Linked DNA regions of Bombyx mori. Each later gene encodes a partner of the first gene's protein in a complex. Links are inferred from orthologs where the notes say so. Each region holds a gene or a part of one and is shown in the gene's direction. Other genes may lie near its edges.

Region 1 (3,699 bases):
CTAACAAATTCTAACGTATGAACAAAGTCACACAAAACTCACATTTTTAGGCTATTTTGACTTTACTGTTTAACGAAGACTGTCACCTGTCAAAAACAAAGTGGTAGTTCCACTTTTCCAACTAAAAAGGCAAAAGTATCATACCATACAGCCTAATATGCTATTTTTTTTTTATGACAAAAAATAGTTATGACATGAAATGAAATGAAATTAATTCATTTGGAACATTAATAAATTGACCTAAAATTAAATGAAATGAGATGAGATGATATGGGATGAAATATAATTTCAGTAAAATTGTGGTTATTTACTGAAACTTTTTCAGTAAACTTTTTAGACGATCCCGAGAAGCAACGTCCAGCAGCTTTATTTCATTTTCCCACATTGGTGCACTTTCACAGATATTAAATTATTAATAAACCACCGTTATTGTTAAGTTACACATTTAATCCTGAATAAACACTAAATAGAAAAATAAAAAAATAAAAAAACTTCGTTCCTCGTATACCCTGTCAGAAACAAAATAACACACAGCAACACACTCTTAACTCATATTTTAATATACGTACGAACCATAGAAAATGATTCGGATAGAGCCTGCTACTGATGTTTCGAAGTGCCATTTGGCGTTCTTAAAATCTGATGCGATTTCAATACTAAAACGTATCACTACAGAGCTTCTTGATTTAGAAAGAATGGGGTATTTTATTACCGTAGCACCTCTGATTGATATATTTTTAATTAATTAAAATCACTAAGCACATATTATAATTAGTTGAGTAAAAACAATTACCTTCAGCGTGAATAAACTTAGTAGAATTTTAAAACTTTCGTAGAGTCGGGCCTAAAATTTATGCAGAATATAATGATAGGTAAGTAGTTTAAAAAATTTCTATTTTCTTAGTCGATTCCAAAATCTTGGCAGAAATAGGAGAAGATAACTTGTCTGAGTTGTGCTATTTTCTTAATCCAGTGTTTCTACAAGTTTAATAAATAGCAACGGTTTCGTATTCGTGAAAGTGGATAAGATTAAGAAAATGGAACCAAGTTGTTGAACTTGGTTTTTCAAGCGTTTCTAAAAAGTTAAGTGACGAGTAAACTCTCACTATTGTTCAGACTGATTAATTTATTTCGTCCCATAAAACACCGATGGTCATATAATTTCATTCAAATTCATTTTATTTCAAACATTTTTTTCATTTTATTTTACTTTTCTTTAACAGACATTACTACAGCCTTTGTAAAAAAAAGATGTGTGGTGTCGTGGGACACCGGATAGGAACGAAGTTCCTTATTATAAAAATATTAATTTCAAGTTCTATTCGAGGTCTAAAGAAAATAATTATTCAGGTATACATTTTTATTATTTTATTTTTTATTGATAAAAATATAATAATAATTACATTACAAAGTTATCAACTTTATTTTATTCACAATGATTTATAAAAAATTATAATAATAATATACAAAGAAACAGCTATTTATACGAATTATAATAATAACCGTCATCACGTAGACTATACATTAGACACTGTATAGCCATCGTACTAAGAATATACATAAAAAGAGAAAGGTATTATACACTACTCGCTTGTGTATATGACTGTCGCGCCTGCGCACGTCTTATTTAACGGTTTTATTCCACGGACTTTTTCTTACGGTTTTACTATCACATTTTTTTCAGTTCGGACGTGCAGCAAAATCCCTATCTCCTCCAAGCCTGCCGTAAAGAACTTCGTTCCAAAAATTTCGTGTATGAGCTTTATTTCCTTTGCTTGTCGAACACCGATCACACAAACATTCGACTTATTCTCCGCGATTTCGTCCATAGTCCATTGCTGTCCATAGATAACACAATAACACATCATTATTTTTGTCGTTTTCGGTTTTGTGATGGTAAAGAATCTACCTACTTTTTTACGTACCTAGGTTTATGTGTTTAATAACCATAATCTAATAAATTTATAAATTAATAAACAACGTACGTATAATAAAATCTGTTACATAATAAGCAAGTGAAAAATTGTGCTTAAAATTTGTACAATGGAAAACAACACAGATCATTCAGAACAGACGAACTACAGTCCCCTGACTGTTGAGGATGTAGATGTAGACTTTTTACCGATTGTATACGATATAATACGAAGGTATTTTGCGTATTATTTGAGACAAACTAGATTTGCTCAAGTTCATTTTGTATTTTCTGGTGCTTTAAATGTTTTTATTACAGCGTGGAGAGAGATTTTCACGACAACGCGTCGAAAATACGCGAGTCCCACGAGTGCAGTCATAGAGTTCTTGAATTACAAAAGAGGCTAGAAATAGCTAAAGCTCAGGTGAGATTACTTTCAAATACTGGAAACATACTTGGTATTTAACATTTGTAATGTAAAAATAATATGCTAAGTCAGCATAATTTTTGTATTTTGAGGAATCAAATTTATCATGAACTCATACACAAGTATCTGCCATAATATATCATCAACCAGTACACAATTATCTGCAATAATATATCACTCATTTCAGATCAGGAGGCTCCCAGGTATAGAATTCAACAAACACGACCAGCTGAAGCAATTTGAACTGCTCCGCACTCAGCTGAGATTAAAGCGTGAACTCTTACAGAAGTATCGGAATATGTGCTCATTTGAGACATCATTCAAGTGAAGATGCCTCTACGTGCGCTGCTTAAATACTTAGCCAATAATGAACGAATTGTACAGAAGATTGCAGAGTCCTACCCTGTACGAAGAGCAGCTCAGTTAGCTGTCTCAGTATTTTACAGAGGGAAGGAAAAGCTCTCTGATGTTGATCCACAGAAAGTTAATAAATTTATAGAGTTTTTAAAAAGGTTCAGTGCAAATTTGAAGGAAGGAGTACAGGATGCAAAAAAACAACTGAAAAAATAATAATAGTTCCTTGGATGTTTTTGGCTAACCATGGATTAGTTGCTGTTGATTGTAATTCACTATCAGTAGTGTCCTTTACATAATATAACTACTAAATTAGATAATAAAAAACTGTAACATAGTTAGAGCTATTTTTATTTCACTCACTCTGAACAAATCAATAAAAATATAAACTTTACTTAATTCTAAGAAAAAATCACAATATTGCAATGGTATTCATTGTAAATGTCAAAATATTGAAAATATATTTACTTTTAGAAAGCAGCTAGCTTCACTAATTTTATTGCGATTATAAGGTTTTCAGAGTTAAGGCAATGATGATTCAAAACTCTGATCTCATTAACTTTAATTTTTATTTTTAAGTGTTCAAATATTTTAAGTGACCCTAAAAGATTAAGCTTAGTGCTGTAAAAATATATACTTGAGTTTTAATTAGTGTTATAAGAACCTCGAGGTTATTAGTGATTTAACTTGCGAAAATATGCCGACCCATTGTGACAGGTGGATTAGCGGTATGGCTTGAGGCTGTCTAGATTAATCAGTGTCACTACGTCCCCAGAAAACGACAGGAGTTCTACCCTTGGTAGTAAAACTACTAAATTGTACTATGCAACAATCACTAGAAAAACCTTTAAGTTAGATAAAAAGATCAATATAGATTTTAGATTAATTTGAATAGTATGTGCCACTTTCCAGCCAGTCATTTTAGAGCAATAGTTTTGTATTAAAAGTAAAATATAGTTGTTTTACATTTAATACAGATTCTTCTCCGAATATTTGTAAAGTTATT
Region 2 (4,745 bases), on another chromosome or scaffold:
TATTCTTTGACACAGAATCATTACAGGCATGAAAATAAGATTTTCTGGAAGTAGGGCCTCTGTTAATGGTAGCATAATTAATATTTGCATCCCGGTTACAAAAATTTTGACATTCAAAATTACTCAGAAAAATATTTTTGTCATGCTGCTTAACATCATACATTGCATTCTGAACAGGTAAATTAGAACTAATTGTGTTAGTATTATTAACATTACACTGAACACTATAAAACGCATTATTGTCATTTTGCACACCCTCGGAAAAGTTAGATTGACTTTGCTCACCTCGGTTGTTTAACTTACGGCACTGTTCCCGTGCATGTCCAAACCGTTTGCAGTAGGAGCACACTGGACGCTGTTTCTTCGTGGTCACGAATTGCTCTGCAGAACCTGGCACAGCAGCGGCAGGCGTGGCAACGGTAGGCTGGGCGACAGCGACAGGCACAGCGGTGGCGGGCACGACGGCCGCGGCGGAGTTTGGAAAGCGCGCGCGCGGCGCCGGGGCACTCGCACGAGCGGCGCACGGTTCAGGCCGACTCGCAGCCTGGGCCGGCTGGGCACGGATCGAACGCACACCACTAGTGGACGACACTGGTCTCGATTGAGTCTCCTCTATCGAATCTTCTATATTCCGAGCATGGTTTAATAATGAATTGAAAGATGTGATTTCTTCACGGCGCAATCTTGTGCGTATTCTATTATGAAGCAACCCGTATATCATATCAAGTTGTACTTTTTCAGCAATATCATCCCGCGGTAGCTTTGCCATAAGCGCACGAATACGAGCAACAAACTTGTCTGTGTTTTCTTTATCCTGCGGGGAAACAAATATTTCCAAATATATTCTATGTGGTGGAAGGCGGGTGCCATATGCATATATTAAATTTTCTTTGGCTTCGTTCCAAGTGGAGATGTGATGCTTTAATCCTAGCCACCACGTAGCTGCGTCAGCAGACAAAAGCATGGCTAGGCCTCGTATGATGTTAGCGTCAGATACTTGAACGCATTCTGTATAACTTTCAATTGCATCTATAAAGGCCTCAACAGATTCACCAGGTGCACCGCTGAAAGAAGCTCTGCAACGCGCCAAGGTACCATCTACGTTCACTGGGGGCATCGGCGGAGGTGCCGGAGTCGACGATCTTTGTTCCATCACGTACGACATAATGTTCTTAAATGTTTCGGCCTGCGAACGTTGCAGCGAGGCCATCAACGCTGAAACATCATCCAAGTTGAACGTAGAATTGTTGCTACGTGATTCGGCGTGGGGGCGATCATGGGGGCTATCATGCTCCTCGTGATTTTCGTTGGCATTTGCATCTGCAGCAGGAATAACGTCGTCTTCGCGACGTTGCTGGCGATCTTGACTTCTAGTTAAAGGCATTCTTTACAATTAAGCACCAACAGCATACAATAGTTAGCAAATTTTTCACAAAAGCGTGCGCGCCATTTTGTTAGTCCAAGCAAGAAAAAAATTAGGAAACGTTGGGCAGCCAGATATAGTGAGGGGTAGATCTCAGGGGTATTTAAAACTATGGGTTAGTCACCAATATCGAATTTCGAATTTTAATCTTCCTTTATAACAAACAATTTTCAATTTTTAAACAATAATTACATTTAGACGCGGGCGCACGCTATTCACACTCAAAACGGAAGCGCCCGGAACATAGATTATACACTGTTACAAGATTGACATAGATACTAACTATGTATAGCGAGCGGGCATACGGCCGCGAGAGTGACGTACCGGTCGGTTTGCTACATATTTAATATTTGTTCAGAGTGGGGGTATTCATCTGATTAATCCATGGAATAACCGACACACCTAATCTCTTAATCCAGATAGAAATATCAGCACTGTCGATTGCACCTATAATTGAGGTGATGTCTGCCATGTACTTTTGTCAGTTTTTCAATTTTTTTTATTGATGATCACTTTGTTGGTGCAACTAAATAAATAAATAAATTAAAACTATATATAAAAATAAAAGTAGTGCCAACCCTAGCAAATTTCTCGTTTCGTCCCAATTAACCGCAATTTTCGGGTAAATAGGGATTACACCTATTTTTGCATTTTTTGCTTAAACTGGAATGCTAGTTGCATAATTTTAAATTAGACAACAAAGATGCCCCCAAGACTCAATCATTTTGATCCTGATTTAGCATTATATACATCAACAACTACCTTAAAATTGCTCATAAAGTTGGAATTTGTCCCTAATCGCCCCATTTTACGGTACGGTAGGTACCGTATGGTACCATTTTGAGATATATTACTTATGTACCCTTAGTCCCTTACGGTTATTTAATAGCTAGGTAAGGTACGGTACCTAAACCTTATTAAAATCTAACAAAGAGAATTAAAAAGTTACAATTGTGTACCTACCATTTACAACAATGAATATGCAGCAGCGAGAAGAAAAGCAACTAGAAGCTACAATAGTTGCGATTTTAAATAGAGTAAATGATTTAAAAACTGCAATACAAGCATTGATAAATAAACTAGAAACGGAATACGAGACAATAAATTGGCCAACTTTTCTAGATAATTACGCGATTTTATCTGGTCACGTAAGTCCAATTGTATATTGAAATTCATAGCATAAATAGTGTGTGTAATAGTCAACAAGTCTACAGAGATGGATTTCAACTTGAAGTAGGAAAGATAATTAATTTATTATTGAAAAAACAGTGAAACAAAAACTGACGAGTTCAAAACTCACTTGATGTAACCTGGTTAGCGTGGTCACTGATATTTATTAGGTATTATCCCATTTTGAGACTTGTTTTCAGATTTAAGTGCATTTGTACATAAGCTTTTCACTTTAAAGATCATGTGTTATTTAGTTAAATTTTATTAACTCTTTATTTTCAGCTGACTGGCCTCAGTAAAATTCTCCAAGCCGAACAAGCAGCTTCATTGCGGTCTAGAATTGTTTTACCACTTCAATTAAGTTGCGAACGTGATGAAACACTGGCTCATTTGACAGAAGGCAGAGTTCCAGCTTGCACTCATGATTTAGTTCCAGATTTACTTCGTACCAAACCTGAACCCCAGGCTGAACAGCGTCTCCAGCAATTTAATCATAAAGCTAGTACTTTAAGCTATGATACAGCACAGGTATAGACAATAATTAACATTTAATTTTAAATATCAGAAACATTTAAAGAAGCATAAGGTTTAATGTACCACAAGGAAAAATATCCATTATAACTATTTGGGCTAATTTTTTATGACATTCTTTGTAGACTTCGCAATCTAAATTAGTTTTCATTGTAAACGGTAAAAAAATAGATATATTTGGGGTTAAAACATGTAATGCACTGTTGAGTGAATAAACCCACAGCTCACTTGAGATATAGTGGCTGGGACCCATAGATATCACAGAGTTAAATCAACCTCTTGCTTTGAGATATTTGGTTGAAGTATGTATCAATTCTTTCTTTTTTTTGTTGTATCACTTGTCAGGGTGGTCATGGTCATCATTCAGTATCATTGCAATCATATCATCATTGAATTCTATTAAACTATGTATAATAAGTTCTTTTATATAATCAAGATTTGTCTGCAAAATTAGCATGATAATCAAGTTGAGTACTTAAGACATGCAATTATAACAAGCTCACTTTCTCATGTAATGTTGTGTAGTTGTTACCTACAATTATATAGATGGATGATGTATGGATTATAATAGTTTTATATTCCAGAAACACATTGCTCAATTCACTAAAGTTGTCAGTCACGTTTGGGAAATTATATCCAAAGGCCGCGAAGACTGGGAAGGAGAGTCAATGAGATCTACAGGTTAGTAAAAGTTACAATAGAAAATTATCATAATTACCTAAACAGTTGACAGATTTTAATAAACATTTCATTCATATTATGTAGTCCATTTTTAACTTCTAGAGGTTGAAAAAAGATGCGGGTCACTGTAGTGAAAAACAATTTGTCTTCAATAAAATTTAGACACACATGCTTATCTTATTTCACCTGACCCAAAACACATGCCCGAAGTCTCAGTTGTATGGCAGGCAGGCATCTTATAATTCAAACTGGCATGCCTGTTTTCTTCATAACAAAAATACTTATACACGTCAGTGACTCAGGATACACTCAGCTACTCACAGTTCTAGACCCCAGTCATTGGTGAATATCTACAGAAAAGACAGGTGGGATTATTCTGACCATTGTACACATATCCTAAGTTATTAGTTCATATAAGGTAGGTATGACTTTACTTTGACAAAGATGAAAGATGCCCACCAGAGATGCCCAAGATTTTGCCCACCACTTAAACAAGTATGATGATAATGCAATTTCACAATACAAGCAGTGCGATTATGGAATTCTCTCCCTCAACCTATTTGTGCTAGTTCCTCTCTAGAAGTTTCTAAGAGTCAAATGAAGAAACATTTCCTGTCACTTTAAAAAAGTGTATTTAAGTTATTGTTTTATGTATGTTTATATGTATTTTTCATTTCATATTAGTTTTTTTTTAAAGCTTAGTTTAAAAATCATGCTTTAATAGATTTTGTATTGTACACTATTCCCCTCTTTATACATTGTATTTCTCTCTGCTAATGGTTTGCTGGAAGAAAACTCATGAATGAGTTAAGCTCGCCTTTGTGCATAGTATTTAGACATTCTTTAAATCTGTTTTTATTGTATTTTCTTTTTGTGTACAATAAGTATAAATAAATAAAATAAATAAATAAGTATGATGATAAGTTTTTTCATTGAAAAA
Region 3 (4,803 bases), on another chromosome or scaffold:
GTTTTATTGTTATTTAAAACCGTAATATTATTTATGGTCATTATTATTGGGGAGTCCAACACTCATATAAATATTAGCCTATCCATTAAGTACATATATTTTCTACATGGATACCAAGCTTCAAGTCAATCGAATGCATGGTTCAGTAGTATAGATTAATAAGACAACTCCATTTAGCCAAGAAATGGCCAACTCTCTCAGTTGGCGGCCGACCCACAGCGGAGCCCTGACGACTACAATAAAATCACCAAAAGCCCGGTCGGTATTCACGCGAGCACGACCCGATACTAAATCCTGTTTACGAAGTGTTATTATTGAAAATTTCTTTGTGCAGCGGTTTAGAGCACGGAATATGGACACACTTTATTCCCGTGAGTTTTTGATTTTTATTACACGATGTTATTTCTTCACCGTGGTAGTCAATCGTGAACAATTGTGGAGTACGTATTTCATTAGAAAAATTGGTACCCGCCTGCGGGATTCGAACACCGGTGCATCTCTCGACACGAATGCACCGGACGGACGTCTTATCCTTTGGGCCACGACGACTTCAAGTCATTGCAATTTTAGTTGCATTAATTTATAAAATATGTACATATTTATAATTTTATCTCATAAGATCCCATATATCGCGATCACATATTGAAAGTTAATACTTTTTGTTTTTTCAGCCATTAATTGTCGAGTGTGTGTTACAATAGGTATCCCGTCCGTGTGTTGTTGGAATAGCCCCTTATACTACCAGCAAATAGGCAGGTAAAAGTTACAATTTAATAAAATATACGAGACGTTGGATAAGTATAATTATGTATGTAGTAATACTAGTACAAAATTATAAAGTTAAATCAGAAAAATCCAAAGGATCGAATAAAATTATCCAGAGAAAAAAACAGAATAATTAAAAATAACAAAACTTCACTTTTGACCGTAAAACAGAAAGTATTATTGAAGAAGACATATTTTCTATTAAAAGTTCATAACTTTAGTCCAAAAGTAATAAAATATATACCGCGCCCAAGCCGTACACATCCTCATAAATTTTATTAACAACCGCTCTAAAAGCGTCAGAGAGACATAAATACTTACTAAACTTAAATTAGGTAGATTTGCAAGATAGTAAATAAAACGCTTCAGAAACTAAATCCAAATGTAAATAATTTCCTTATTTTAAATGACTTATGCCAAAGTTCTCGAATATTTTAACTTGGCATGTGCAGGCAAGCTCACAGTTACTTGAAGACAATGGATCGATAATAAATGCCGTATTTTACATGAAAGGAGCCTACCTTGAACGTATGTAAACAAATGTAGCGACAGCCACAAGAATATCCAGTTTCTCACGCCGTAAGCTACGATCCCTGTCCGAAACATGGTTCAAACCAATAGAAGACCACTGCACTAGAGGTTTTAATTCATAACTATCACATTTTCACATAAAATCAAAAATATTTATGTTAAAGTTCACAGATAACGAATTCGGAGCGATACTACGCGATCCGCCATTTTCATGTCCACTTACGTTCGGAAACAATTCGATATTGAAAGGGCATTGCCCGGGACGAAACGGAGCGCCCTGAAGTTAGTACACTTCGTTGATTTCTGTCAAACGAGAAATGGAATTGGCAATGGAAATTCTGACATACAATATGAAATTCGAAATCGCTAGGAGACAAAACATTTAAAAAATAAATATAATCCGTGCCAACCAAAAATACGTATAATCCTTTTATCATTCGTTACATACAATTGGTACTTCCACAAATAAATATATAAATTCAGATCCAAGCAATAATAAAACGTTATTGTCATTTTGACACATTTTAAAAACTGACGTGATAGGTATCAACAAATAAAGTTTTTGCAATCTTATTAACTTCAAATTTCCAACCTGCTTTACATGCGTATTTTAATAAACATTAAACATTTCGTTCACAAATCGCTAACCGCAGTCCGCGGTAGTTTGTAATGGAGCTAATATACTCTATGAGACGCAAGCCACTTAAATGTGAACCTCCGCACTTCGAAAAGTAAATAGTTTAAATTTATATCAAAAGTTTATATTTCTATCCAAATTTACTAAAGTTTACAAATTCTTCTTCTTCTTGCTTCGGTTTCCTCAATACTGAGGGTCGTGACCATCTCCTCGCAACAAGAGTTTACAAATTAAGATATCTTTAACGGCAGTAACATCAACTTATTTTTTAAGTTACCGTTGTTCATGATGCCTTCCATCATAAGAAAACACTAAAAGGATAAAAATAACAAATTAAGGAGAAAAGTAATAGGAGACTGCTCAGCTCATGGATGTATATTATAAAAAGAGCTGACTTTAGAACTTATCACATCTACATAAAATTCAAGTATTTTAAAATAGTCCCATGCGTTCTGTGTTCTGTTTGTAAAACATTATTTCTGTTTCTTGGTGTTACATAAACTCAATGCTTAATAATGTTGTCTATTTCTAGTGTAAAAGACTCTGAAGTAGTCCGACCAATATGTACAATATCATGTGCAAATATCATAGCATTCTCATCACCGACAGAGCTTAGTGATGTGGACGGAGCAACATGGGGAGGTCATGTGTATGTATGTGACTTAGATACCCCATGGAACAGTCACAAAGTTACAAGTACAGCTTATCCTGTAAGTGTGAAATAGTAAAAGTATAATGAAACTATGTGATACAGATCAGTTATTCAAAAGTGGTATAATTTTACAACCAAATGAGCTCTTTATGTATTAACACTATTAATGAGTTTCCATATCAAATAGTAGACTAGAACCCTATGTGGCCAGGTTTTGTTCGCATAAGTGAACAGACCAGCTCACTCACCAAGAGTTAAACAATTACGGGAGATGATAAACAGTGTCAGATGATCGTCATTGCCTACCATCATTATGTTGGAGAAATATTCAGTGAGACTCTTTAAACCTTACACACATCTACATTAATGCTATCAAATGTCAATCTGTTCATATTATCAATATTTTAGGATCTACAGTAATTGATTTCACTGTGGTTATGATATGATTTACTCATGATTTACAGATATGATTTACTCATATTTGTAACTTCTTCATAACTTAGTATTTGTGATGATATATGCTTCTTACTTATAATTGATATCCACATCAACAATTTCAATTATTTAACAAAATGATCTAAAAACTAGTTTATAGCAGTGATTCTCAAACCCTGTGCTGCCAAAATTTTGAAGTTTGCTGTCAAATTTTATACTCAAATGATGACCATACTATTTTATACGGTCTATAGGTTCGGAAAAATACATTAAGCTATCTAAAAGTTTGTATGGAAATACTCTTACAACTTTGTTTCTTTATGCAACTATGTTCTAATAAAATAATGGATACAAATTCCAGGTGTCAGCTCTAGAGTGGGACCTGGAAGGCAAACAGTTGTTAGTAGCCACTACAGTGGGTGATGTGTCTGTCTATGGACAGAAAGACTTCCTCCTCAATGATTGGACATGTCTTTACAGTGCTAACTTCCCTGGTAAGATAAAAATTTAACTACCTAAGTACAAAACTAGTTATTTTAGTAAAATTGTTTATCTTAAAGCATTACGACTACTGCCACTTCTCTGATGTTGTCGTACACTAAATGCATTGCTATTTTAAAATCTTTAATGTAATTTTGAGTCAACTTTTTTAATTGATTTATGCATAGGGGTTGTTTGTGGTACCTAAGAACATATAAGATCAGATGGCTCTCTAAGTGCAAACTTAATTCAGCCCTTATTTAAACGCTTAGATAGTCAACATTTTCATATTCTGGTACCATCGCCCTGTCTGTTCTATCATGAGACATAATGTGGCTCCAATTGATGTTTGGGATAGCTGTCACTGCAACATGACTCTGGTCCCATGTCTCATGATGAGTGGTGGCTTTTAAAAATATTTCTTTGAATAGATCTTAATAAGTTATAAACATGTAATAAAGATTCTTTTCAAGGCCATATCAATAAAGATGTTTTCTTGTTTTTTATTTTTCATTTTTGTCAATAAATGACAAAATATTTCAGGAGAACACATAATCCAAGGGGCCTTTTTCCACAATGGACGTCGTGTGGTGGCCGTGGATAAAAAATCAGATGCGGTTATCCCTGAAAAAATACAAATGCTTCGGTTCTCTCCTACTCTCAAGGGATTCGGGTGAGTGTATCGGGAGCTTGTGCAATCTCTCAGTAGGTGCAAAACAGACTGCAGAGCTACTTATTGTTTCTGACAATTAATCTAATTATAAAGATAAAGAAACCTTTATTAACAATCTTAATGCATATTTAGGTACATACTATTAATGTAATTTGTCGTGATCGTGACATTTCTTCTTCCACGTAGAACCTGCAATGGCCTTTATGTTGTCTACCCACCTTTAGAACGGTAGTTCTTTTAACCAATCAGTTTCTAATTTAGCCCATTTTTTCTGTTTTGCTTCTTATTAGATTTATCCAATTATCCAAGACTAGCTTTTGACCGCGACATCGTCCGCGTGAAATAGTTCACAAATAATGGTTTATTTTAGAACAAATTTGGTTAGCATAAAAAACATTATGGTGAGCCAACCTTCACATATAGGCATATGCTGTCCCGGACTTTTTTTTAGGTCTTTTAAAGGGGAACAATTCTGTCATACATTATTTTAGCGAAACTTTAACTGTTTCCGCAGCGCACGCAGCGGAAGCTCTCAAAAGGGAAAAAAACCTCGATTTGGGAATATTCTTTATTGGTGCTTCGCTTGTATTGGTCTTAGCGTGATTTTATATAGCTTATATATAGCCTTCC
Region 4 (4,442 bases), about 200 kb from region 1:
TACTCTATCTCACTCTCTCTCTCTCATCAAACATCTCTTTAAAAAAAAGCAATGATTTAATAAGAATTAAATGAAAAAGCAAAGAATTAATATGTATTTACAACTAGCTAGACGTCTATAAAATTTTCTAACCGAAAAAATATATGTGTATAAACCATTAGAATAGATAAAACCTTCAAAAACAACATTATTATTAAAAACGAAAGAAAAAATCTTGATATTATATTGCTTTCACGGCAAAAATTTTAGTGACTACTTAACTTGCTTGAAAGTGAAGAAATACTCTCAAAATCCATTAATTTGCAACTCGCACTCGCACATACAATAATCGAGAGGCTCACTTCGGTAAAGCTATTTGATACATGAGACAGCAACATAAACAAACCTTCTCTCTCCCACAAAATGAGATTCATAAGCTTACCACTAGGTGGCACTGATACAACCTCACACAAAATAAACATAACATTAACATCGACTGAGTAATTAAAAAAACTTGCACTAAGCACAGGTACATTACCCATTACCCGACTAATTATAAATATCGTTAGAAAGCTTGGCATTTCAATTAAACGCCTTAAAAAAAACCTTGCGTGCTACCAATATAAAAGAAAAAAATATCGCTTTTCAAAATGAATAAACGTCCTGCAAATCAAGTAACTCGCACTCAGAGCTCCGCACGTTTCACCGTGAAGAGCGTACACTCGATGCGAGTCATTCGATTCGATTTTTGAAACTCGCACTAAGCCTACGGACGTCTTATAGTTTAAGCCAGGACGACTTAAACAAAAAAAAAAGCCTAAGCATTTGTTTCAATAAGAATGTTTGATTTTTTTACTGCTTCAAAGTTTGAATGAGCTCATGCTTTCTTGTTTAGTGGATTTTTTAAAGATTGTATGACCTGTTACCGAGACCTTTTGTTGGACGGTTAAATTTGAGAGGACTGGGTTCTGTAGGTGAGGGGCTATTTAAAAACACTCTGCTTCATGGTTAATATATAACACCATTACAATATTTTATTTTATAAAACCCTAAGATGTTGCATAGTCCGTGTCTAGAAGAGAAGCCATTGTCCTCACTCAAGAGAAGACTCATCTGTTTTAAATATTTAAATAAGCATTTCAATATTCGAAAACTGTAACCTTACATGTGTCAAGTGTTACCTGCCATTACTTACATATTCAAACTCCAACACCATTGGACCAGTTTTAAAGTGTTTTCAAAGCTCATAGACATCACAATTCATTTTCCATACAAAATTATCACGGAAGCTCCAAGTGCTTATGTGTCAGAACTATAATAGACTATTTCAACTAATTCAAAACAAGTCTATTTTAATTAGACAGTTGCTATTTTAATTTGAGAATTGCTAGTATTTAATTTAAATATAAATTTCTTGAGAACCAACAAAACCATGTACCTATTGTTATGATTTTCTTTAAATAACAATATTAGAGTCTGTGGGAGTTACAAAGCTAGTGTTGCAACAGGACTTTTTGGCGGGAACGTGAGGAGTGAAGTTGTGTGATTTGTTTTATTTTGTCTATTTAGTGTTTCTTCGGGTTTAAATGTGTAATAATGGTGGTTTATTAAGTGTTTAATATCTGTGAAAGTGCGCAAATGTGGAAAAATGAAACAAAGCCGCTGGACGTAACTTCTCGGGATCCTCCAAAAAGTCCACTGAAAAAATCTTAGTAAATGACCACCATTTTACTGAGATTATATTTCATCCCATTTCATTTCATTTAATTTCATCCCGTTGATTAATATCTCAAATTAGTCGTCTTCATTATTTCACTCCATAATATTATTTTTCATAAAAATTGAATATAAATTAAAATAAGACATGACTTAAAGGTCTCAGTTCCCTTAAAAAAAAAGTGTTGCAACATTGTTCCTACTTTTATTTTTTAGAGTTGTCAAAAGCTTGGGAGTAGGGAAGGTCTTTTTAATTTTTTGTGATTTTGTTTAGAGTATTTAATTTATTTAAGTTCGTTTCGTAGATAATGGTCATCCAAGATGATGTCTGATCAGTTTAGGAAAGTAGAACCATATTCGCCAAAATCGTCGCCGAGGGGTGCGAGGTCACCAGTCGTCTCTCGCCAAGATTCTTCTGGTACACTCAAAACTACTATATCCTTAGGCAAAAACCCGTCTATAGTGCACAGCGGACCATTCTATTTGATGAAAGAACCCCCGGGTCAGTATCTCCAACTCTTTAACATTCTCTTCTCAAATTCTTAAATAATTATATTCAGGAAGTGACTTCGACGATTTCTTTTACAGGAGAATGTGAACTGACAGGCGCTACAAATTTAATGGCCTACTATGGACTTGTACATTCTTACAGTAAGTTTAATGGCAAAAAGCTGAAGGAATCCCTATCATCTTTCCTTCCGAACCTGCCGGGCATCGTTGACGGACCTGGGCAGGACGATAACAGTACTCTAAGTTCAGTTATAGCTAAGAGACCAATTGGTGGTAAAGAATTACTGCCATTAACTAGTGCTCAGTTGGCAGGTTTTCGATTACACCCTGGCCCACTTCCTGAGCAGTACAGATATGTGAGTGCAACACCACCAAAGCGACATAAAAGCAAACATAAGAAACATAAGCATAAAGATGGTGCACCTCCTGGGCAAGAGACACCTTTACAAGGTAAGAACTCAGAACTCAACAACATTGATTTAATAGATTTAGCTATGTCCCAAGCTTGTAGACAATATTACAAATTAGCCACCTGTAGATGCTATTTAGGTCTAGGTGAGTCTTCCAGGCACTTTGACTACATTAATCTAGTTAAGACAGTATTTGAATTGCAGTGTAATTGTACTCTGCATTTTACATTTTGTGGTACTAACCCGTGCGGGCTCAGAAGACACCCTATCAATTATTTTTAGTGAGTCTGTTTACAACACTGTCCTTCACTGTGGAAGTCAATTGTGAACATTTGTCAAGTACATATTTCATAAGGAAAAATGGTACTTATCTGCGGGATTCCAACACTAACACAGTCGCATCACTCAATATGAATGCACCAGGCGTCTTATTCTTTAGGCCACAATGATTTCATTTAACTTTAGATGTCAAGTGATACTTTTTAAATTGCTTTATAAGTTATATTATTTATACTCCATTTTTGTCTTGAGTTTTAATATAAAACATATCTATTATTCTAGATTCATCAAATCCAGACACATATGAGAAAAAGCATAAGAAGCAAAAACGTCATGACGATGAGAAAGAACGAAAGAAGAGAAAAAAAGAGAAAAAGAGAAAAAAGCAAAAACACAGCCCTGAGCATGGAGGCCTTACACCAAACCAACATCCATTACCGTAAATATAAGTGTACAAGTAGGTTTAAGTCGAATAATGAGCCCAAAGAGAGTATTGTACTAAAGATGACTAAAAATTAGTAATTCATTGTGTTCTAGTGATATTCCATTACTAGTGAAATGTACCTCTACACTTTGTTGTGCATATGACTAAATGTATGAACGGCACTCATTTGTTGAAACTACACGTGCTATCTATCATAAGTTGATTGTAATACGATGGAATGTTGTTAACATTTCATTAAAGTGGAAAGTTTTCCTCAATTGGTTGAATGGTATAATAACACAAGAAGAATAACATACAATTGGTTGTGGCCTAAAGGATAAGACGTCTGGTGCATTCGTGTTAAGCGATGCACTGGTGTTCGAATCCCAGGCAAGTACCAATTCTTTTAATGAAATACATACTTGACAAATGTTCACGATTGACATCCACAGTGAAGGAATAACATTGTAATAAAAGTCAAACCTGCAAAATTATAATTTGCGTCATTACTGGTGGTAGGACCTCTTGTGAGTCCGCATGAGTAGCTACTACCAGCCCGCCTATTTCTGCCGAAGTAATAAGTTTCGGTTTGAAGAATGGGGCAGCTGTTGTAACTATACTTGAGACCATTGCATTTATGTTACATCCACCCATCTAAGCAATAAAATAAAAAAAAGAGTAGATTTATCTGAATCTATATTTCTTCATTATTCAATGGGGTGTATATGTCCATAAAATGAAGAAAAAACGAAGTTTTTTATCACATTTTAAACCATAATAAGAAAAATGAGGTTTGCAAGACTTTTGTTTTTATGAAATACCTAAAATTGCTAGTCAGGCAATGTTTTAAACTTATAGCTAATTTATTATCTTTACTTCATAGTAATTACTTTTGATTCTGAACTTAAGATTTCTAGTAACTTCTACTTGGCTTTCAACAGGTTCGATTGCATGGTAGATTTAATAAGATTTTGTTATGCTAAGTTACCTAATAGAGTTAAAATGCCATGATGGCAAGCAACATTGTGTTAAGTTGACCACTTTGAAAGAATAATCACATCATTCTCAAATGTTTCTAATGCAAACATTAGGAATTTATTAAAAAATATTACTAATTAAGAATT
Region 5 (4,663 bases), on another chromosome or scaffold:
AAGGAGTATTGGAACCGGTTGGGAAAATAAAGACAGGTGTTATTGATAGTAATTCCTAACACAATAGCACTAAAAATGAGAATCTATTTTTATGAATTTTAGCAAATTTTTTTGTACGGAGCTCTAGCAATAAATCAACTGAAGCCCGAAATTTATGATCTCGAGAGAGTGCAAGGCAAGTCTGCTTTTGCATTGTAAGTTCTCCTATTGCAAGTTCGTGAAATGCAATCTAACATATTTTTTTTATTGCTTAGATGGTTGGACGAGCTTTACGCCCCACTCGGTGTTAAGTGGTTACCGGAGTCTATAGATATGTACAACGTAAATGCCACCACCCACCTTGAGACATGAGTTTGAAGGTCTCAGTTTTAACAGTATAACGTCAGCCACACCCTTCAAACCGAAGCGCATTACTGCTTCACGGTAGCAATAGGCAGGATGGTGGTACCTACCCGTGCGGACTCACAAGACATCCTAACAACACCATTCTTTAACTCCGTATTGACTGATTATCGGAAGATATAATATGAGCATCACAGCGTGTAAGTAACCATCCATTTTGATTGAATTAAGGATTCGAAGTCTCAACTGTTTTGTCTATTATCTTGCCCTTTATACCGAAACGAATAACTGGTAGGTGGCAATAATAGGAAGCTTGGTCGTAGATACGTATCTACAACCTACGCTATACCGCCAATAATTACGAATTATAAATAAACCATAACAATCAATATCACAATCTTTCAATCCTTTTTCAGTATTCGCAAGTCTAATAATTAATAGAATAATTTTTTTTGTGCAGTGTTTCAATAATTTTGATGGAATCAGATGTCCTTTATTTTGAGAATATTTTTATTACACCAATATTGTATTTCTTCTGACAAATATTCTGAACCTGTGAAATGGTTTTTTTTTATCTAAGCTTGAGAGCTATGTCAGTGTAACTTATTAAGTAGGTGAGCTCACGGGGATCTAACCTGACGACGTTGCTAACACTAACCCTAGCAAGAGCAATACTTTGCAGAATCTACCACGGGATCGGAAACGCGACCCACTGAAAAGATCCGGCGAGAAATTCAGTGGGCTTTATTTGTGGGTTATTTTACTAGCCGAGCCTTCGTCGCAAGCGATGGGTTCAACGAGAACGATGAATGATGACCAAACGATGTTCAAATTCATGAAAGTGCACAACGGGTAGAAAAATGAAACGAAATCGCTACATGTGGTTTTTCGGAGTCTTTCAATTAACGTCTCAGGAAATAAACACGATTTTACTGAGAGATCATATCATAATAACTAGACTCTACAATACTCTACATGGGTAGGTACCAGCGTACTGTGTATTTCTGCCGCCAAGTAATCATGCATTCTGATTTAAAGGGTGGAACACACTTTATAGTGTAAAATAGAAAAGTGAAGTTAAAGTTGGGGGCAGCAATCACTTTGTGATGTCTTTAAGCTCCGGTAACTACTAATAGGCCTTGAGGTCATTCACCCATCTTCATAAGAAAAAGTAAATCATCTCATCTCGTTACCAGTAGTAAATTTTATTTTATTTCTTATAACGTAAATAGGCTACGGCCTTATAAAACAAAGTTTGTAGATATAAATTATACTGAAACTCACTTTAAAACTAGAAAAACTGTAAAAGTACGAGAATAAGTTTCTCTATATCATAGAGAAAAATATTTCAAGGCTCTACTAATTATTAGTCTGTGCTTGCTGTGGAACATAGTCTATGACTTTCACGTTTGTCGTCTGCTGTATTGGAAACATCAAACAATGTTATTATTTTTACTGTAAACATTGAATGTAGTTACCACGTACATAGTAGCGTTTTTGATACAAGAAATCCCAAGAGTCGCAGCGTTGGGGGGTCGTTTGTCCAGTTCATATGATATAAGGAAATAATACATATCGTTTATATTAAAAAAAGCTGTTAAGCTATATAGAGCTATGGCGTCACATTTAAGTACTAAAGATCGCTTATTGGCACTAATAGATGATATCGAACTTATTGCTAAGTGAGTTAAAACACGATTGAACTGTGGAAAACATTACCGATCAACTTCATGTTCTAATTCTTTAAATTTTCAGGGAAATAATAGAAGTTTCCATAGCACCAAAACCACAGAAAGTGTCCGCTGCAGATCATGCTCAGTTGACGGACCTACTTCTATCAAAACATGGAGAATTGAAAAAAACATTAGACCTAGCTGACGAACAAGCAAAGATCCAACAGAAAATGAATGAACTCAAAGCTGAAGTAGATAGTAAGGTAAATACTACAAAAGAGATTTATTTTAAGTAAAAAATGGATAAAATTTTGGAGTGGACTGACTCATCCACTGCTAGTTCACAACAATTTAAGCCACAAGCGAATTATGTAATTGAAATGTTTTTGTTGTGTTACTAAGGATCAAGATATATATCACCTTCAAAGACAATTGAAAGATGCAGAACAAATTCTGGCTACATCACTGTATCAAGCTCGACAGAAACTTGCATCAATAGTGAAGTCTAGAAAGAGACCTGTACCCTCTGAGGAGTTGATCAAATTTGCACACAGGTTAGTAAACAATTAAAGATTTCTACATTGAAATTAAATATTTTTTCTGAGTCAGGTCCTTAAAACACATGATGAGTACTCCTAAATATTGAATATTAAATATTTATGATCTCAACAGAGATTTCAAACCTGACCAATGACAACAGTGAGACAATGATAGTAGGCACATTGACTAACAAATAAATCAATGAGATGTTTAGTATATTAACAGTTGATTAAGTTTATTAATGCAAAAAGTCTGAATGGATATTAGGTATTGTGTCTGAATAGCCAACAATGTTATGAAAATAACTATCTACAGAAAACAGTTTCTTTCATAACTATAGAGTTACACTTTAATTAAATTACATTAAAAAGAATTTTTAAATATTAGACAGTACACTATTTTTGATGTGAGAACTAAATAGTACTTAAAAAAACTTTTTTTGACTTACTGATATTTTACAGAATAAGTGCATCTAATGCTGTCAGCGCACCTTTGTCGTGGCAACCTGGTGATCCTCGTCGGCCTTATCCAACTGATTTAGAAATGAGATTAGGAATGCTCGGTCGCCTCTGTGATCTGCCATTGAATGGTCACACGCCTTCTACACTGAATGAACTTCATCGTATAACAACTGGTGGAGGTATAAATGCATTACTCATTATATTAATGAATCATTCTTAGAACAAGTTGCATATGTATAGAACTCTTTGTGCAGTACATATTTATACAATTCTAGTATTGGTACTTTATCGTTATAGTTAATTTGATTCATCTACAATAAGCATGTATTATCATAGTTATTAATAGCTATGAGAGAAGTGGGTGATAGGGAACACCAAACACCTAAACTACTCAGCAAGTGCTTTGGCAGATATATCATGTTTTGGACCACTGTATTAAACTCAAATATACAAGAATAATATTTTTCAGGAAAGTTGAATTAATGATCAAATTTCTATAGGATTTGTAAAGAATAAAAAAAATCTCCTATGTTATTGCCACCTCTTTTTATTAATATTGTCAACAGAGGCTTCCTTCAAAACCCATAACCCATGGAAATTATTTAAGAATATTCTTATCATCAGAATTTTACAGAAACATTTTACCCTTTTGTTAATTGCATTAGGTAAAAAAAACATGTAAAACCATTTGCTTGTTAATCAGGTTTACTGTGTTATATTATTTCAGTACCAGCTTCAGCTTCAAGCCAATTCACTTGGCATCCATCAGGCGAGCTACACATGTCTGTTGGAGGCGGTAACTCTGTAGCTATTGATGGCCGAGGGAAGGATGCTCCCAACCAAGAAGATGTTGAAGTTATGTCCACAGACTCCAGTTCAAGTTCAAGTAGTGATTCACAATGAATACAGAAAAACCGTGGACTTCATTTTGATTAAAAGTGTAGTGCAACTCAACAAGTTAAAAAGACTGATGCTTGTGTTTATTATGAAAAAAATATTTGTAGAATTAATTCAAATGTTATTTAAATATCCTCATAGAAATGACATAATAAAAAAATTTATTCCACATAATCGTTTTGTTATATTTGAACAAAAATTTAACCTCCAAATTTATTTTTCGATATCTATGCACGCGAACTCTGCGATTAAGAGTTGGAAGTGCGAACTAGCCTGTTGACATAACCCAAACAGTTTCTCGTCAGTTCTTCTCAGTGGGTTGCGATTCTGATCCTGTAGGTTTTAACGAAACATTGCTCTTGCCAGGGCCAGTGTTGGCAAACTCTCTCAGGTGGAGCCAGTGAACTCATACACGTCCGCGCGTTCCTGGAATAGCCCCTTAGGCTACCAACGAATGGGTAGGTAAAATATATCAACGATCACGAGGCCCGATAGCACCGGAATATATTACAACTAATACTACTCATAGGAGTTGTATAAGTGTTTGGAGCTTTAAGACAACTTAGTCCGGATACTATTGCCCCTAGGATTTAGTACTTTAACATTTATTTTATTACTGGTGGAAGGTCCTCTTGTGAGTCCGCGCGGGTAGGTACCACCACCCTGCGTATTTCTGCCGTGAAGCAGTAATGCGTTTCGGTTTGAAAGGTGGGGCAGCCGTTGTAACTATACGTAGATCTTAGAACTTAT
Region 6 (4,575 bases), on another chromosome or scaffold:
ATTAATTATAGCTAAATCCAATACTTAGCATGATTGTTTGCACTTGATTCTAAATGAAAAGTTAAGCTTTGTGATGCTCTCTAACAAAACTAATTGTGAATTGTTAAAACTATTTCATTGTGTGATTTTTTAAAAGTTTTAGTAAATAGTCATTACTTGTTGCTATGTTTATAACTATATTTATGCATAAAATTTGATAATAAATTGAGAATAGATCTATAATTTTAAGGTATTTGATAATAATTTTGGTACTATAGTGTGAAGCTTTGAAGTTTTCAAACAATTTATCTAAATTGTTTTAAAACATTTTTAATAACAATCACGAGGTTTTGTGTGTGTGTGTTTTTTTTTCTGTGCACAATTTAAAACCTCTGTCTTTGTAAATGTGGCCGCAAACGGGGGTTGCTAGCTGATAAAGATGGAAACCTAGATCCAAAGTAGAGTGAGAGAGTTAATGCGTAACATCGTTTGTCAGACAAGGATGGCGGTAGACAAACTTACCCTATTTAAAAATTAAAAACTAATGCGCATGCGTCGAGTGCTAGTTTATTCAACCAACTGCGCTCACTTTCTTACTTTACAAACGATAATTTAGTTAGGTACTCAAAAAAAAGTGGGAATTTTTATTTGCTATATTATTATGCTAATGAATTATATTCATATTGCTGTTATTAGTAAAGTTTTGTACTTAATTTATAAAAAAATTAGATGCTATGTTGGGTATGTACATACAGTACTCAAAAATCTAATTTAGCAATTTTCATTGTTGACTTCTAAGCAATTTAAATTCGATAACGGCGGATTTCTATCATAAAAATGTGATACCGCAAATGCTTAGTTATTTTTAAAGAGTGCAGGTTAGGCTGAAAGCTATCTAGTCTTTTATTGTTAATTCGTACGAGAATAGCGCGAAAGCGGTGATGGAAGTTTTTTTTCCTACCTATTCGGTAGCCTACACACACTGCGACGCAACTTCTTGATGAATTTTAGTTGTTACAAAAATGACGCGAGGATTTGATATTTACTTATTGCGCGACAGGAGGTGTTTGTTGATTGTAAAAAAAATGGCTTACACGAAACGAAAAGAAAAACGGAAAACTTTTACAAATTAGTAAAGTTCTGCCAATTTTACTATAGCACAGCTGCCTTAGATTGAATTAGACTAATAGTTGTAGTAGTCATTAAACAATAACATGTTTGAACACACAACCTCGTTATATCCGTAATGTGAATCCAGCTTATTGTTAATGTTGTTTCATTGAATAACTAAAATTTAAAAATAATCGTTTAAGGTCTGAAATGAAAGAGGTTCATTAATGGTTTTTTATTATACTTAAATACTCAATAATTGTGATGTTTTTCTAGTCGGTAATATTATGGTTACCTATTGTGTACACTGCTTACATTAAATAAAGGAAATTTTGAAATTCATTTCATTGCCTATAATTAAAGTTTTTTAATTTTTTTTATATGTAGATGGGTGGAAGAGCTCATAGTCCACCTGGTGTTAAGTGATACCGGAGCCCATAGATATCTATAACGTAAATACCGTCACCCACCTTGAGATATGAGTTCTAAGGTATACTTACAACGGCTGCCCCACCCTTCAAACCGAAACGTCAAGTGGTCCTGTTATTAGCAACATTACTATTTAGCTTATAATGTATATAACGGAGAAATGGTTTTCTAAATTTTAATACTGATGAGAATGATTGCAGTTCTAAATGTATTTTTTTATTGCCCTTGTAGGCAGACGAGCATACGGCCCACCTGATGGTAAGTGGTTACCATCGCCCATGGACTTCAGCAATGCCAGGGACAGCCAAGTCGCTGCCTACCGTTAAGTACTTTCCGCAAGCCTCGTTTGAAGAAGAATACGTCATAGCGCTCGGAAAACACCGTGGAGCGGAGCTCATTCCAAAGCCGTATGGTACGTGGCAAAAAAGATCTCTGGCTTAAAATGGCGTTACTATTCCAAATTAGGTACTGTTTTGCTGCACGCCAAAGTTAAACGATCGTAATATAATTGTTTCCTTACAGAACTTCAAGTTATTTGGATTTTAGATTAATGTCTCAAATGAATCAACTTTATTTCATTTCGCTCCATATGATCATTTTTCATGAAAGAGAATAGAATGTACATACAAAAGACTAGGATGTATGGTGTGTGATATCTTCGCCTTTCCACCTGGAAATATTGGAAATATTACTTAAAAACGTCATAACGTTCAACTTCAAATAACTTCATTCAAAAGGTAGTTTTACAAATTGATACTGTAGGTAGCTTAAAACCACCTTCCATAGAAAATATCCATATAAGGATTAAATTTTAACAGTGGTTAGTAGGATAAATATCTGAATTGAATAATGGCTGATCGCTTAACTCAGCTTCAAGATACCATAAACCAAGTACGTATGACAAAAATGAACATTTCGTTTTAATTGACATTAATACATTTCACATACGTTGTATTTATTTATTTGTAGCAAGCTGAGAATTTTTGTAACAGCATCGGAATTCTACAGCAGTTCTCGTTGCCTAGCAAGTTCCCAGGCTTCGAACGCGGTGGTTCTCAGACTCCTCAACAACCGCAGAGTCAAGAGGATTATGCGGTTTTATTCGCGGCTCTAATTTCTCGTTGTGCTAAGGACATTGACACGCTCATCGAGTCTTTGCCCAGTGAAGAGAGTTCAACTGAGCTGCAAGTGCAAAGCCTTCGGCGACTTGAGGCCGAGAACAAGGAGGCTGCTGAGCAACTTGAAGAGGTAAGGGCTGTCAACTCTCCGTGCCCAATACACGTGCAATTTATCTCAAAGGACACTAGCTTTCTTTTTTATCATAAATTGGGAATTATCATGTAACTAAACCATTAAAATAATGATTTTAAAGAAGTAATTATGCCATGCAGTTTGCTTTTGTATTGCCATTTGAATGTAAAATCAAATATTCCAAGAAAGTATTTGTATTACAGACATTGTATTTTGTCTATAGTCAACTTTTGTAATGTAAACAAGCACCAATATTTAAACATAAATTAGTACCTACTTAAGATAAAATTGACAGTAATAGCGATTTGGTTAAAGTTGTTTCCTTAACTTCATTTTGAGATGGCACACTGGAATTGTATCAGCGAATATTACTTTATTCAATTTTCAAAACCCATAGGGTGTTTACAGATTAATCTCATGTTTTAGATTGCCATGACTACAAAAACTTATAGTATTTGAAATATTGGAAGTAATCATATCGACGCTTGAAAGGCAAACGTGACTAAGCGACAATGCGTGAACTTCACAGTAGACTAATTTCAAGATGAAATACCTGAAAAAATTCTATTTTAACGAAACTAGCTGTAGGATTGAAATGATTTTAATAGACCTAGAAATATATTTTTTTTGGCATTGAATATGGTTATTGCCTATCATGTATAAAGCAGTTATTGTCGCTTAGTCACGTTTGCCTTTCAAGCGTCGATATGAAAATAATTACACATGACTTACTCTCTTTTCATTAGCGTTAATAATAATGTCAGACAATATTTAATAATTCTACAGGTAGTCCGTCAAGGAGAGATTCTTCTAGAGAAGATTCAGGGTGCTCTGAGTGATATTGCTCAGTGCCAGTTGGACATGCAGAATCCGGCTCTGATCCTCAACAAGGATGTGAAACCACAGTTATAGGGATGGGGTCTGGGGTTCTACCAACGGTAGTTTCCTCTACAAAAGGATACGTTAAAACAAGAATACACGGAAGTATTTTAGTATTATATGAATTTTAAAATTTTGTGTTTGAAATCTTAATGCTTAATGACGAAGATTTTTTTTTGTTGTTTGCAAATTTGTTACAGGGCTTTCATGCCGGTGAAAACTAAATTGTCTGAATGTCATATTTTTGAAACTATAATAAGAAAAACATTGGTATGACATATATCATTTTAAGTAATCATTTGTTATAATTGAATAGTTAAGTATACATGACTTGTTTATTCATTATTTTCTATTATTACGTAAGGCATACTTTAAGTCTGAAAGGGTAGGTACCGCCACTCTGCCTATACATACTGTAAAGCCGTTGTTTTCCAGTTTTGAAGCACAGGTTAGTTGTTGATGATGATTTTGAGATGAGTGGCGGCAATGACTGGGATCTCTGGGCTATGTTAATCTCTTAATATTAGATGAACTCGTTCATCTATATACATAAAATAAAATGAACACAAGGAAAAAGTAAAGGTGATTGTATTCAATGATGAACATGAGTTTTAATTAAATTAAAAAATATTTATGTTTTATGTTTAATTAATTTAATTAAGTTATTATGTTTAATTAAAGGTTTAATTTTTCTTTTTGTTGTACGCCCTGTATATGCTGGAATGGACTCGAATCTAAATATTAATATACTTTAGAGATTGGAAATAGAAAACTATAATCTTGAAATGAAAAAAAATCTATATGATTGAAAATAAATGTTGATAGCTAAGAGTGTTTTATTAAATCAAATGTTTTATTTGTATAAATTTCAATACTGATTCAATGGTAAAGAATAGTTTAATTTAGTAGAAGTAGTGTTCCTTCAGG
Region 7 (4,010 bases), on another chromosome or scaffold:
TCCACCCATCTAAGAAATAAATAAAAACATGTTTCAGATCGGCCTATAACCTTCCTTTACAATACTCTACACTATTACGAGAAGAAGCTACGCGATAAACCGTTGCTAAAGCGTAAACTGGTGGGAGCAGTATTGGGAGCACTCAAAGATGTCCGTCCCGCCGGCTGGGCCGCCACTGAAACGCTGCAAAATTTTCTGGCCAACACGGAGTATGATAACACTACGTGGGTTCCAGATCTTAATTATTATCTGAGTTTAGTCAATAGAATGGTGGACAGTATCCTTTTCCATAAGACAACAAAACAAAAATATAGTAAAATACTATTTTAGTTGTTTCCTTAACCCTTTTACTGCCACAGTGGTCATCGGTTCCCTACGTGGTGCATTGAAGTAATTATGTCGATTACTGTTACTAAGTCCCCAGAATACCTAGTAGACTCTGGGTATCACGAATCCAAAGATACTGAGAGTTAATCTATTTCTAAAAGACTAAAACATACATTGAAAACAAAATAAGTCAAAGTTAGGCAATCCAGGCGCTTAGGAAATCGACATAATCACTGTAAACATATTGAACACTTAATCGCATATATACATATATCGCAAAATATTTTTTGTATTGCACATAGAGAACGACAATTTTTTTTTATCATGGTAAAATACTTAATTCCTTAATTTTATCTCAGCAATGATGGGTAATTCTCACTTTCCAAATACTGACTGGAGATTCAACGAATACCCAAATCCGTCAGCACACGCCCTGTACGTAACTTGTGTCGAGTTGATGTCATTACCAGTTGCGCCTAATTACGTGGGGAACAGTTTACTCGATGTGATCACAAAAGGTTTCGTCGTAATACCCACCACGAAATTACAGCTTTGGATCAACGCTATTGGCTTAATAATGGCGGCTTTGCCGGACCCGTATTGGACGGTTCTGCACGAACGTCTTTTGGAACTTACGACTAGCAGTGAGATGATCGAATGGACATATCCATATTCACCTTTCCAGCTGTTTAATTTAGCAACCACAAGTGACGCGATGCTTGAGAACAAATATAGTTTGACATTGGCTTGCGCGCATGCCATATGGTACCATGCCGGCGCAGGGCAAATTATGCAAGTGCCTATGTGAGTATTTAATGTATTAAATTTGTGAATTGTTTGCATGTTTCAAGTATAATTTTGGAAGGCTTAAAGCGACGCTGGGAAGATCTTCCATCGAGCGGATGATATTGCTCGGTAAATCGACGGTCCGTATGTTTTTGTTTGGAAATTGTATATGTGGAAACTTATCTTGAAAATGACGTGAGCTAGATTCAGGCATCTGTCAAATATCTTGATGTTGTTGTTGTAGTTGTATGATGACTACCCGCCAAAATAATGAATAATTATTCTTTCAGTTTCGTAAAAGAGAAGCTGGCTGTTGAAATACACACGGAAACACAAATGCTCTTCTTGTGCCACATGGTGGGACCGTTCTTACAGAGATTTAATTCCGATCTACCGCGGACAGTGATGGACATAACTATAACTTTGTATGAACTACTCGCTCACATCGATAAGTCACAGACGCATCTTCAATATATGGATCCGATTTGCGACTTGCTGTATCCTTTACAAAAAATCACTCATCAATTGCCAATTATTTAATTAACGAAACGAATTAAATAATTTAACACGACATGCGTGTTGATATTTTTTTTATTTTTTTATTTATTGCTTAGATGGCTGGACGAGATCACAGCCCATCTATTGTTAAGTAGTTACTGGAGCCCATAGACATCTACAACGTAAATGCGCCACCCACCTTGAGATATAAGTTCTAATGTCTCAAGTATAGTTACAACGGCTGTCCCGCCCTTCAAACCGAAACGCATTACTGCTTCACGGCAGAAACAGGCGGGGTGGTGGTACCTACCCGCGGGGACTCACAAGAGGTCCTACCGCCAGTAACTAATATTTTTTGTGGTTAACTCGTCTTATTTCCTCAACACCTTTCTAGATATCATATAAAATATATGTTCGTCGGCGACACATTGAAGAACGAAGTGGAAAACGTAATCCGTAAACTGCGACCGGCGCTGCAGATGCGTCTGCGCTTCATCACGCACTTGAATGTTGAACAAATTAACACCGCCTAGCATAAGGAGTATAATAGCCCTCCGTCGAGTGCTAGTTCGAGTTCCGAATGACACCAGCCTGACAGTGTTTATGTCACTGTTATTCTACGAAAGAGAAACGACGGGGGTTATCAAAAAATTTTCGTATGCCACGGGGAACAAATTAATTAAATCGAAAATTTTAAATAAATAGTTCAAGTGTTTAATATTTGAAGTGCTAGAAAATAAAATTATAAGAGGAATAATATTATTAAATTTTCTTAGGATATAAAAAATATGTTTGATTGTACGTATTTTATTCGCTTGCGCATCTTTTAATCTGAAGATAGATAGAGTTATTGTTAGCAATTCAAGGAAAGTTTTTGTCATCATCGACATTCGACAGATGGCACTTAAGTAGTTTTAATGAAAGATTATTTTCATACAACAGTATTGAGTCGCATCGAAGCGTGATCGGGTTTCACTTGTATAATACCAAAAATAATGTTTGTATGCTTGTTCGCTCGTGATCTATGTGTTAGCGCTTTTATAAGATTGATGATTTTATAAGATTTGAAACTTTATATACTTGTTCTTACTGCATGGAAAGTTTTCTCAGTGTGTGTCAGTGTACGATAGTTAAGGCAGGTATACCCTAAGAAATGCGTGTTTTCCATATATTTATGCTCGGCAGGGTTTCACTAGTTCAAAATAAGAAGATATTCAACATTTAGAACGGTATGATAATATCAAAATAAAATGTGAAATGATTAGGTAGTTCTAGTTTGTAGGTACCTATTTTGTAATTTTTCTGCTAAGAATTAGGACGTACTTTTACTTTTACAAAGTTTACTGATACAGTTTTATGTACAGGGCCTAAAGTTTGAATTTTGTGTACAATTTTATAATGTTTAATCTGGTCTATTACCTGTAATAGGCCAAGTAATTGTCTGAATTTATTATGTGGTGTATGTATGTGTATCGTTTGTCAATACGAATAGTTTTCTGATCATGTAGGTATGTGTAGAATAGCTAAATTCAATTATTTATTTTATTGTATAAATAGCACTACAGAAGGTATTCTTAGCCAAATATGGCTCGGTTTCTGACGAATGAATTGACTTTATGATTAAATAATTCAATTATTATAGTATTTAGTATTGTGACAGGGCTATTATTGTATATATAAATGTAATATCTGTATAAAGGACTATACATTTTTTGTAGAATGACTAAAACTGTTATACTGTAAGTCGAGCAAAATACATGCCTAGTTTTAAATGATCGAAATAAAAAAATACTCTGTTATTCTATTAATGAATTATTCTGTAAGTAATATGTGTAAAATGATATTTAGTTATAAGCATTCAGTAGAAAAAAATGCGAAAGAAAAGAATAAGCAGTGAAAAGTAAGAAAAATTCCCGGCTCATTTTAATTTATATTTTTTTTATGCATATAAGATTTATGGACATGGATAAATAATACTGTATTTTGCAATAAATTTTAATCACAATTAACATAATTATTTCTGTAAGCGAAAGTCATAATAGCTAAGTAAATGTCTATTATGAATTTGCTAAAGGAAATAAAAATAAAGCCAAATAAACGAGGCAATATTTAAAAGAGAACATTGAGCGCATTATGTTAATAAGAAAAAAATGTGTTACACACCGTGAAAGTAATAGTTATTAAACATTGTGATATTCTTTAAGTTATGATCATGATATAACATCAGTCACTCTTGACCATCTAAGTACTCGCAACGAACACTATAATCTCCTATAATACATATGTTAGAAATAATGAAAAAAGTCTATGATGTTTTTAGTGGTAGATTTTGTTGTAATAGGAATGGATAAATGTATATATATGTTCATGTTTCATTTTAATAGTCTAAATTCAGTTCA

Evidence for each region.
Region 2: mediator of RNA polymerase II transcription subunit 9 (region 1) and mediator of RNA polymerase II transcription subunit 8 share a complex: the UniProt entries of both Drosophila melanogaster proteins name them as parts of the mediator complex. The link is inferred for Bombyx mori from reciprocal best matches to the Drosophila melanogaster genes MED9 and MED8.
Region 3: mediator of RNA polymerase II transcription subunit 9 (region 1) and mediator of RNA polymerase II transcription subunit 16 share a complex: the UniProt entries of both Drosophila melanogaster proteins name them as parts of the mediator complex. The link is inferred for Bombyx mori from reciprocal best matches to the Drosophila melanogaster genes MED9 and MED16.
Region 4: mediator of RNA polymerase II transcription subunit 9 (region 1) and mediator of RNA polymerase II transcription subunit 19 share a complex: the UniProt entries of both Drosophila melanogaster proteins name them as parts of the mediator complex. The link is inferred for Bombyx mori from reciprocal best matches to the Drosophila melanogaster genes MED9 and MED19.
Region 5: mediator of RNA polymerase II transcription subunit 9 (region 1) and mediator of RNA polymerase II transcription subunit 4 share a complex: the UniProt entries of both Drosophila melanogaster proteins name them as parts of the mediator complex. The link is inferred for Bombyx mori from reciprocal best matches to the Drosophila melanogaster genes MED9 and MED4.
Region 6: mediator of RNA polymerase II transcription subunit 9 (region 1) and mediator of RNA polymerase II transcription subunit 21 share a complex: the UniProt entries of both Drosophila melanogaster proteins name them as parts of the mediator complex. The link is inferred for Bombyx mori from reciprocal best matches to the Drosophila melanogaster genes MED9 and MED21.
Region 7: mediator of RNA polymerase II transcription subunit 9 (region 1) and mediator of RNA polymerase II transcription subunit 23 share a complex: the UniProt entries of both Drosophila melanogaster proteins name them as parts of the mediator complex. The link is inferred for Bombyx mori from reciprocal best matches to the Drosophila melanogaster genes MED9 and MED23.

What each region holds. Positions count from the first base shown.
Region 1 is NC_085116.1:15,850,484-15,854,182, forward strand, and holds mediator of RNA polymerase II transcription subunit 9, read left to right. Parts: upstream 1-1,766; 5' UTR 1,767-2,043; coding exon 2,044-2,147; intron 2,148-2,230; coding exon 2,231-2,336; intron 2,337-2,526; coding exon 2,527-2,667; 3' UTR 2,668-3,030; downstream 3,031-3,699. UniProt on the Drosophila melanogaster protein: Component of the Mediator complex, a coactivator involved in the regulated transcription of nearly all RNA polymerase II-dependent genes.
Region 2 is NC_085118.1:10,646,008-10,650,752, reverse strand, and holds the start of mediator of RNA polymerase II transcription subunit 8, read left to right. Parts: upstream 1-1,696; 5' UTR 1,697-2,397; coding exon 2,398-2,571; intron 2,572-2,875; coding exon 2,876-3,121; intron 3,122-3,708; coding exon 3,709-3,805; intron 3,806-4,745. Other genes in the region: uncharacterized protein LOC134199859, read right to left, coding at 1-1,384. UniProt on the Drosophila melanogaster protein: Component of the Mediator complex, a coactivator involved in the regulated transcription of nearly all RNA polymerase II-dependent genes.
Region 3 is NC_085108.1:234,902-239,704, forward strand, and holds the start of mediator of RNA polymerase II transcription subunit 16, read left to right. Parts: upstream 1-1,809; 5' UTR 1,810-1,965; coding exon 1,966-2,027; intron 2,028-2,465; coding exon 2,466-2,643; intron 2,644-3,381; coding exon 3,382-3,514; intron 3,515-4,043; coding exon 4,044-4,173; intron 4,174-4,803. Other genes in the region: neogenin, read right to left, coding at 1,287-1,371. UniProt on the Drosophila melanogaster protein: Component of the Mediator complex, a coactivator involved in the regulated transcription of nearly all RNA polymerase II-dependent genes.
Region 4 is NC_085116.1:16,052,983-16,057,424, reverse strand, and holds the start of mediator of RNA polymerase II transcription subunit 19, read left to right. Parts: upstream 1-1,491; 5' UTR 1,492-2,016; coding exon 2,017-2,197; intron 2,198-2,283; coding exon 2,284-2,655; intron 2,656-3,176; coding exon 3,177-3,337; 3' UTR 3,338-4,442. UniProt on the Drosophila melanogaster protein: Component of the Mediator complex, a coactivator involved in the regulated transcription of nearly all RNA polymerase II-dependent genes.
Region 5 is NC_085112.1:8,189,420-8,194,082, reverse strand, and holds mediator of RNA polymerase II transcription subunit 4, read left to right. Parts: upstream 1-1,700; 5' UTR 1,701-1,956; coding exon 1,957-2,024; intron 2,025-2,097; coding exon 2,098-2,278; intron 2,279-2,417; coding exon 2,418-2,569; intron 2,570-3,016; coding exon 3,017-3,195; intron 3,196-3,743; coding exon 3,744-3,919; 3' UTR 3,920-4,087; downstream 4,088-4,663. UniProt on the Drosophila melanogaster protein: Component of the Mediator complex, a coactivator involved in the regulated transcription of nearly all RNA polymerase II-dependent genes.
Region 6 is NC_085122.1:11,557,425-11,561,999, reverse strand, and holds mediator of RNA polymerase II transcription subunit 21, read left to right. Parts: upstream 1-1,478; 5' UTR 1,479-2,367; coding exon 2,368-2,409; intron 2,410-2,487; coding exon 2,488-2,766; intron 2,767-3,555; coding exon 3,556-3,681; 3' UTR 3,682-4,477; downstream 4,478-4,575. UniProt on the Drosophila melanogaster protein: Component of the Mediator complex, a coactivator involved in the regulated transcription of nearly all RNA polymerase II-dependent genes.
Region 7 is NC_085107.1:8,820,965-8,824,974, reverse strand, and holds part of mediator of RNA polymerase II transcription subunit 23, read left to right. Parts: intron 1-37; coding exon 38-277; intron 278-686; coding exon 687-1,131; intron 1,132-1,403; coding exon 1,404-1,610; intron 1,611-2,005; coding exon 2,006-2,144; 3' UTR 2,145-4,010. UniProt on the Drosophila melanogaster protein: Component of the Mediator complex, a coactivator involved in the regulated transcription of nearly all RNA polymerase II-dependent genes.